Neurospora crassa OR74A: one gene and its partner. The protein of the gene in region 1 purifies or fractionates together with the protein of each later gene. This does not show direct contact. Links are inferred from orthologs where the notes say so. Each region holds a gene or a part of one and is shown in the gene's direction. Other genes may lie near its edges.

What was found. Proteins that work in one complex are often made in the same cells at the same time.
Region 2: the proteins of NCU00018 (region 1) and NCU01318 purify together in Saccharomyces cerevisiae (affinity purification with mass spectrometry; 3 studies listed by BioGRID, with this or other methods). This does not show direct contact. The link is inferred for Neurospora crassa OR74A from reciprocal best matches to the Saccharomyces cerevisiae genes CDC48 and SEC23.

What each region holds. Positions count from the first base shown.
Region 1 is NC_026503.1:2,304,867-2,308,938, forward strand, and holds the start of NCU00018 (cell division control protein Cdc48), read left to right. Parts: upstream 1-1,238; 5' UTR 1,239-1,668; coding exon 1,669-1,724; intron 1,725-1,816; coding exon 1,817-1,844; intron 1,845-1,910; coding exon 1,911-1,966; intron 1,967-2,020; coding exon 2,021-2,270; intron 2,271-2,336; coding exon 2,337-3,828; intron 3,829-3,887; coding exon 3,888-4,072. UniProt on the Saccharomyces cerevisiae protein: ATP-dependent chaperone which probably uses the energy provided by ATP hydrolysis to generate mechanical force to unfold substrate proteins, disassemble protein complexes, and disaggregate protein aggregates.
Region 2 is NC_026505.1:3,643,782-3,647,883, reverse strand, and holds the start of NCU01318 (protein transporter sec-23), read left to right. Parts: upstream 1-1,227; 5' UTR 1,228-1,544; intron 1,545-1,704; 5' UTR 1,705-1,907; coding exon 1,908-2,000; intron 2,001-2,066; coding exon 2,067-2,197; intron 2,198-2,253; coding exon 2,254-3,028; intron 3,029-3,090; coding exon 3,091-4,102. Other genes in the region: NCU01319 (hypothetical protein), read right to left, coding at 1-83. UniProt on the Saccharomyces cerevisiae protein: Component of the coat protein complex II (COPII) which promotes the formation of transport vesicles from the endoplasmic reticulum (ER).

The sequences.
Region 1 (4,072 bases):
CTTGCTCACACTGACTCCACGAGAGTGAACGTCGTTGAAGTCGAGGCTGGTTTGATTGTTAGTCTGTTGCCTGAAAGGAAATGCCACACCCTCCGAGCTCCAGCCCCATTCTGGCTCAATGCGTGTTGTACAGTAGGTAGTAACGGTATATCGGATCCGGATCGTGGAGGCATTGGACTATGGGACCTTGAGGTCCCTTTGGACTCTGAATGGCCAGGTGGGCGGCGCGCCGCAGCGTCTTTGGGGTCACCATGTACAGCGGGGTAGCTAACACCCATGGTACTACACTACTGTAGTGTATGTATGTAGTACGTTACAAGGGTACCGAGCTCCCTGGCTTCTAGCCCCGCCTTCTTCCAGCCGGGCGCCGAGCAGTCCGGGGAGAGACTCCGGGACGTACTGGGTATCGGCGTGCCGGGGCGGAGCCGTATGGCCGGCGCGCGCCTCGTATAAGCACGGGCGGGGACGTGTCCTACAACCCCTGAGGACCCGGTTCTCGGTCGGGTCGAGGGTCGTCGTTTGCTCTTGTCACTCGCTTGCTCCACCCAAAGTGGCATGCGGGTTCCTGCGACGTCCGGACAAACGGACTCTCTCGAATCTCGATAAGACGACAGTTGCAGCCTGCCAACTTTCCGCGTGTTGTCCTGTTCCATTTCGTTTTCTGTGATACCTACCTAGCAGCATCGTTGGCCTGTGGCCTCTGTACAGGCCATCCGGTGGTGCATGCGACAACCACTGACCGCCTTGTTGTCCGTACTGCGGGGGAGGGGCAAATAGGAAATCCCAGGGCAGCATGTCTCGCTTCCTTGGAGAGACCTGACAGCCTGGCCATCTGGACATCGGTGCTCGAGCGGTGCTGCAGCATCCGAACCTCGATTCACTGTAAATCTCGAACTGAAGAAATGGAACGAACCCCAAGTCAAACAAGATGAAGCTTTGATCTGTCAGCAGCTTTGTAGAACGCATTCGAAGGTTCCGGCCGCACCGTTGCTTTACCAGGTGTGTCGGGCGACCTGAAGATCCTCGGAGCGATGGCAGAAGGCGTGCCTGGAGCCCGGAACAGCCAGGGCATGGAAGCAGACAGAGTGGCAGAATGGAAGTGTACCTATGGGCGAAAAGCACGGACCTTTGTCGCCCCAGAAAAGGCTCCGCTCATACTTCGTCATCCAAATGGTCGCCTGGCGGGGCGGTTTGTCAGTCAGTGACACTGACAGTTGAATCAGATGCCCGCTGTTGCTGTTGCCGCTCCCCAGCTGCTGGCCACCAGCTGCTTGCCCCTGGTTGGCTGGCCTTGGAGGGAGCAAGCGGTCGGTGCCACTCGCCGGCGCAGCGGTGCTTGCTTGCTTGCTTGCTTTGGCTCGAACCGTCCTTTCCATGCCTGGCCGTGACAACCTGAACGTAAACGAAACCAACTCCAACACCAAAACGCAAAGGCACTTCGTCCCTCCGACTGGTCCTTTTTTTTGTTTCCATCCCAACACCATTCACCTTCACCTCGCCGTCCAACCTCCAAAGAATCCCTTTATCAGCGGGTCTTGAGGCTACGAATTCTGGTTTCTTTTTCTCCAAAACCACTTCTTCCCGCTACATCCTCTCCGTGGATTAGCATCACCGTCCGCGATACCCAAATACCACATTTATTCTACTGATTCCAACACAAACGTCAAGATGGCTCCCGAACCTAATCCCGACCACGTCGAGCAGAAGAAGAAGGTCAACTTGATGTACGTGAAGCAGCGACGCTGATCGCGGGAGCTCTCGAAGCTGTCGCGCCCCCTCATCGCGAATGACGCCAAGCTGACTTGAAGCCAAACAGGGACGCTTCTGGTGCCGAGCACAAGGCCGTATGTTCAACCTCGCTTGCCCGCCAAAGACATCTCGAGAACCACTCGTGCTGACCGATGGAACAGGAAGATGATACCGCCACTGCTATTCTCAAGAAGAAGAAGAAGCCCAACCAGTTGATGTAGGTTGACGTTGAAGATGCGGGGCACTGCAACCTGAGCTAACACATATGCAGGGTTACTGACGCCGTCAACGATGATAACTCGATTATCGCCCTCTCCAACAACACCATGGAGCAGCTCCAGCTCTTCCGTGGTGATACCGTTCTCGTCCGCGGAAAGAAGAGAAAGGACACCGTCTTGATTGTTCTTGCCGATGACGATCTTGACGATGGCAGCGCACGCCTCAACCGTGTCGTTCGCCACAACCTCCGTGTCAAGCACGGCGACATCATCACCATTCACCCTTGTCCCGATATCAAATATGTTAGTCTATAACCCGGTCACCTAGTCATAGAATGGGCACCTTGCTGACACAGCATCTCCTTGTAGGCCAAGCGTATTGCCGTCCTCCCGATCGCCGATACCGTTGAGGGCATCACCGGATCTCTCTTCGACGTCTTCCTTGCTCCCTACTTCCGCGAGGCCTACCGCCCTGTCAGGCAAGGCGATCTCTTTATTGTCCGCGGTGGTATGAGGCAAGTCGAGTTCAAGGTCGTCGAGGTGGACCCACCAGAGTACGGTATTGTCGCTCAGGATACCGTCATCCACTGCGAGGGCGAGCCCATCCAGCGTGACGAGGAGGAGAACAACCTCAACGAGGTTGGTTACGATGATATTGGTGGTTGCCGTAAGCAGATGGCTCAGATCCGCGAAATGGTTGAGCTGCCCCTCAGGCATCCTCAGCTTTTCAAGTCCATTGGTATCAAGCCGCCCCGTGGTGTCCTGCTTTATGGCCCTCCTGGTACCGGTAAGACTTTGATGGCTCGCGCTGTTGCCAACGAGACTGGTGCCTTTTTCTTCTTGATCAACGGCCCCGAGATCATGTCCAAGATGGCCGGTGAATCCGAGTCGAATTTGCGCAAGGCTTTCGAGGAGGCTGAGAAGAACTCGCCCGCTATCATCTTCATTGATGAGATCGACTCGATCGCCCCCAAGCGTGAGAAGACCAACGGCGAGGTTGAGCGCCGCGTCGTCTCCCAGCTCCTTACTCTCATGGATGGTATGAAGGCCCGTTCCAACGTTGTTGTTATGGCTGCCACCAACCGTCCCAACTCGATCGATCCCGCTCTCCGTCGTTTCGGCCGTTTCGATCGCGAGGTCGATATCGGCATCCCCGACCCTACCGGTCGTCTTGAGATTCTCCAGATCCACACCAAGAACATGAAGCTTGCCGATGACGTCGATCTCGAGCAGATTGCTGCTGAGACCCACGGTTACGTTGGTTCTGATATTGCTGCCCTCTGCTCCGAGGCTGCCATGCAGCAGATTCGTGAGAAGATGGATCTCATCGATCTGGACGAAGACACTATCGACGCCGAGGTCCTTGACTCTCTTGGTGTTACCCAAGAGAACTTCCGCTTTGCTCTCGGTGTCTCCAACCCCTCGGCTCTTCGCGAGGTTGCCGTTGTCGAGGTTCCCAACGTCCGCTGGGAGGATATCGGTGGTCTCGAGACTGTCAAGCAGGAGCTCAGGGAGAGTGTCCAGTACCCCGTCGACCATCCCGAAAAGTTCCTCAAGTTTGGCCTTTCGCCATCTCGCGGTGTTCTTTTCTACGGTCCTCCTGGTACCGGTAAGACAATGTTGGCCAAGGCTGTTGCCAACGAGTGCGCAGCCAACTTCATTTCCGTCAAGGGTCCCGAACTGCTTTCCATGTGGTTCGGTGAGTCTGAGAGCAACATCCGTGATATCTTCGACAAGGCTCGCGCTGCTGCTCCTTGCGTCGTCTTCCTCGACGAGTTGGATTCTATCGCCAAGGCCCGTGGTGGCTCTGTTGGTGATGCTGGTGGCGCTTCTGACCGTGTTGTTAACCAGCTTCTTACCGGTAAGTTGATTCTTCCTTGGTTTGTGCCATTCTGCTGTGCATACTAACCTGAGCTATAGAAATGGACGGCATGACCTCCAAGAAGAATGTTTTCGTTATTGGTGCTACCAACCGTCCCGAGCAGCTCGACCCAGCGCTCTGCCGTCCCGGCCGTCTCGACTCCCTCATCTACGTTCCCCTTCCTGATGAGGCGGGTCGTCTCGGTATTCTCAAGGCTCAGCTCCGCAAGACCCCTGTCGCTGCC
Region 2 (4,102 bases), on another chromosome or scaffold:
TTGGGTAGGGTGATAGTGCTACCCGCCTGGCAAATCCACGGCTGTATTACACAGCACAGAAGGGAAGTCGACCTCCTGACCATGATGACTGATTTCAGAGGGCAACAAGAGAGAGAAGAGAAGAATGGGAGAGGAGGAAGAAATTTCTGAGCAAAATGCTACGCGTGTCAGCTTTCTACCCACGAAAAGGGCTAGCTCCCCTGAAGCGCCATCGAGACATGGTGGTAGGTGATGATCCTATAGGATCCGACTGTAATTATAAACGAGGTCGGGAGAGGTGAGCCACGGTAATATCACCGTGGACTGTCAATGGTGCCTGTTGACTGCTACCTGGCGGCTGCTCGGCCCCTTTCGTATCTTAGCGTACCCAAGGGTTGCATCAAGTCAGCACTACAGTAGGAGATAAGGCTGATCCCTACTCGTCGAGTAACAAGTAAAAGTGAGCCTGCTCAGAACAGAGAGGGTGATCACCGGAGAGCGGGCGTTTGTGCGATGCAGCACAGCCGCGAGTTTACCATCTGCTGGCTTGACTGACTGAGCCTGCGAGCGAGCGAGTTGTTTGATTGAGTTCCCCCGCGACAGGCGGATTCTTCAGGATAACCCGACGGTAACACAAAAAGGTATTTTGGTCGTGCTCGACACAGTGGGCTGAAACAGGATGGGGCGAGCAGGGTACGGTTCTTGAAGAACACCAAATGCTGGCATGAGTGGTAGGATCGACACAAGACCGAGCATTAGGACAGAGATGCGAGCAGGCTAATCAGAGCTAGCCAAAACTCAACGGCCAGCCGGCCACAGGTCGGAATCATGACTGGAGCCCAAGGGTAACGGAATCAAAGCTTGACGTCTCCCGAGGCGTCGATGGTGAGGGCAAGCATACGATGCTGAATAGGTACCTATTCAATTTCCATGTCGAGATGTCGCGATTCGCCAATGTTGTTTTTCATTCATGATCCGACGCCGCGGGAACATCACTGCACCGGGAAAACACTTGGTACATCCGACAATTTCGTGCTGACGGAACAAAGGTTGCAACTTGCAGCTTGGAGATGCAGTTTACCACGGCGGCCGCGGTGGCACGGTGAGGTAAGTGGTGATTGGCGTCAGCTCGTCGGCTACGCACCAGCTGGCAAGCAGCCTCCCGTCGTCTGTCAGCAGAGCTGCCCCCTGCCTTTCGATGGAGGGGAACGAGGTACCTGTCCTTTTCAACAACTGGAGGGGAGCAAATGACAACAGAGCCGCAAATCAGAAATTGATACTATCGCCTGTTGCAGTCGGCTTCCATTGCAGTAGAAGCGATTGGGGTATTTCTGAACATTTTGATCCCATCACCTTGTCGCAAACGACTTGACCGATTGCAGAAGAGCAGCGCGTCGTTAACTCTGTGATCTTGCGCAGGGCTTCCTGGACGACAGTCAACACTTTAAAGTGGACCTTGAATTTTCAGGAGCGTCGAAAAAGAGGTTCTTCAGTTCAGTTGTTGCATCTTCCTGGCGACACACCACAACTGGGATCCCGTCCATACCTTATTGCCTCCCCCCGCGGTATGTACTCGCACGGAGCCCGCTTTTCCCCCTAGCTTCCACATCTAGCCTCAGGTCCCGCCTGCCGCAAGACAGCTGCTGTGGACTGTGTGGTGGACGGTGGATGTCTCGAGTGTCTCGTGCGTTCCAGGTCTCGGAGCTAATGACACCTTGCACGTAGCCGCCCGACGACGTTGCCCGTTGCCCGCCGCCCGCCCCGTACCTATCTCTGGAGCTACCACCGCGTAGACGACGGATCATCCACATTAATTCCCTTAATCTTCTAATCCAACAAACCGCCGACACCACCATCACCCCTCTCCAGCTGTTCCTCTCTATCCCCGACTGCGACCATCGACCGAGGACGCCGCCGCCGACATCAACATGGATTACGAAGCCCTCAAGGAGCAATGGGGCGAGGTCGAGGACCGTGATGGCGTTCGTCTGAGCTGGAATGTCTTCCCCAGCACCCGCATGGTCAGTTCCGCTCTTTCGCATACTTGCTACTTCGCGTCACCCCTTTATCGCTGACCCTTTCTTCAGGAAGCTTCGAGACTCGTCGTCCCCATCGGCGCCCTTTATACCCCTCTCAAGGAGAAGCCCGACACGCCTCTGCTGCAGTTCGACCCCGTCAGTTGCAAGCAGCCCTGCCGCTCCGTGTTAAACCCCTACTGGTGAGCCATCTTCGTCGCCCCGACTTGTCGCGCCCATTGCTGATACCCTCGCCCAGTCAAGTCGATGTGCGCGCCCGCCTGTGGATCTGCCCCTTCTGTCTCTCGAGGAATCCTCTCCCGCCACACTACAAGGACATCACCGCAAATGCGATTCCACCCGAGCTGCACCCTTCCAACACTACCATCGAGTACAGGCTCTCGCGGCCCGCCCCCGCCCCTCCGATCTTCCTCTATGTCGTCGATACGTGCCAGGAGGAGGACAGCTTGGCTGCTCTCAAGGAGTCGCTCATCATGAGCTTGAGCCTATTGCCCGAGCACGCCCTTGTCGGCCTGATTACATACGGCACCATGGCCCAGGTCCACGAGATTGGCTATACCGAGTGCCCTAAATCATATGTTTTCCGCGGTAACAAGGAGTACGCGGCCAAGCAGGTCCAGGAGATGCTTGGGCTCGTACAACCTGCCATGCGTCCGGGCATGCCTATGCAACAGCCTGGCAGGCCCTTCCCGGCCGGCCCTGCCTCAAGATTCTTGCTTCCGGTCTCTCAGGCCGAGTTCCAGTTGACCAAGGCCATTGAGCAGCTTCAGAAGGATCCCTGGCCTGTTGCCGGTAACCTCAGAGCCTTGCGCTGCACCGGTGTTGCGTTGTCCGTAGCTGTTGGCCTGCTCGAAACGTCGTTCCAGAATGCCGGTGGTCGCATTATGCTCTTTGCTGGTGGTCCGGCCACTGAGGGACCTGGCATGGTTGTTGGCCCCGAGCTGAGGGAACCGATCCGCTCCCATCACGATATCGACCGTGACAACATCAAGTATTACAAGAAGGCACTCAAGGTACGTTCATCTTCAAGTTGTGGTGCAGGAAACAGTCTGTGTCATGCTAACATTTATTATAGTTCTACGACAACCTCGCTAAGCGAACGGCGCACAACGGCCACACTATTGACATTTTTGCCGGCTGTCTTGATCAAGTTGGTCTACTTGAAATGAAGGGTCTGTGCAACTCGACGGGTGGCCACATGATTCTGACGGACAGCTTCACCTCATCCATGTTCAAGCAGTCATTCGTCCGCATTTTCGAAAAGGACGCGGATGACAATCTGCTCATGGGCTTCAATGCGGTTTTGGAAGTACTTACAACGAAGGAACTCAAGGTTACTGGGTTGATTGGTCATGCAGTCTCTCTCAACAAAAAATCGACGTCCGTCGGCGAAACCGAGTGCGGCATAGGTAACACTTGCACGTGGAAGATGTGCGGTATCGACCCCAGCTCCAGCTACGGTATCTACTTCGAAATCGCCAACCAAGGCGGCCCGTCCCAGAACATGCAGAGTCCCCAAAAGGGAATGATGCAGTTCTTGACTTATTACCAGCACTCGTCTGGCCACTTCCACCTTCGGGTGACCACCATTGCCCGAAACCTCAGCGGCCCCGCCGGAGACCCGGCCATCGCGCAGTCATTTGACCAGGAGGCAGCAGCCGTGCTTATGTCGCGTATCGCTGTTTTCAAGGCGGAGGTTGACGATGGGCCTGATGTGCTCCGGTGGGTTGACCGCATGCTCATCAGGCTCTGCGCCAGATTTGCCGATTACCGCAAGGACGACCCGTCATCGTTCCGCTTGGAAAAGAACTTCACGCTGTACCCACAGTTCATGTTCCACTTGCGTAGGAGTCAGTTCTTGCAAGTCTTTAACAACTCTCCCGATGAGACCGCATTCTATCGGCACGTTCTCAACCATGAGGATGTTAGTAACTCGCTCATCATGATTCAACCAACGCTCGACTCCTACACCTTCGACCAAGAAGGCGGTGTCCCCGTTCTGCTCGACTCTACCTCCATTCAGCCTACCCACATCCTCCTGCTCGATACCTTCTTCCACATTCTGATCTTCCATGGTGAGACGATTG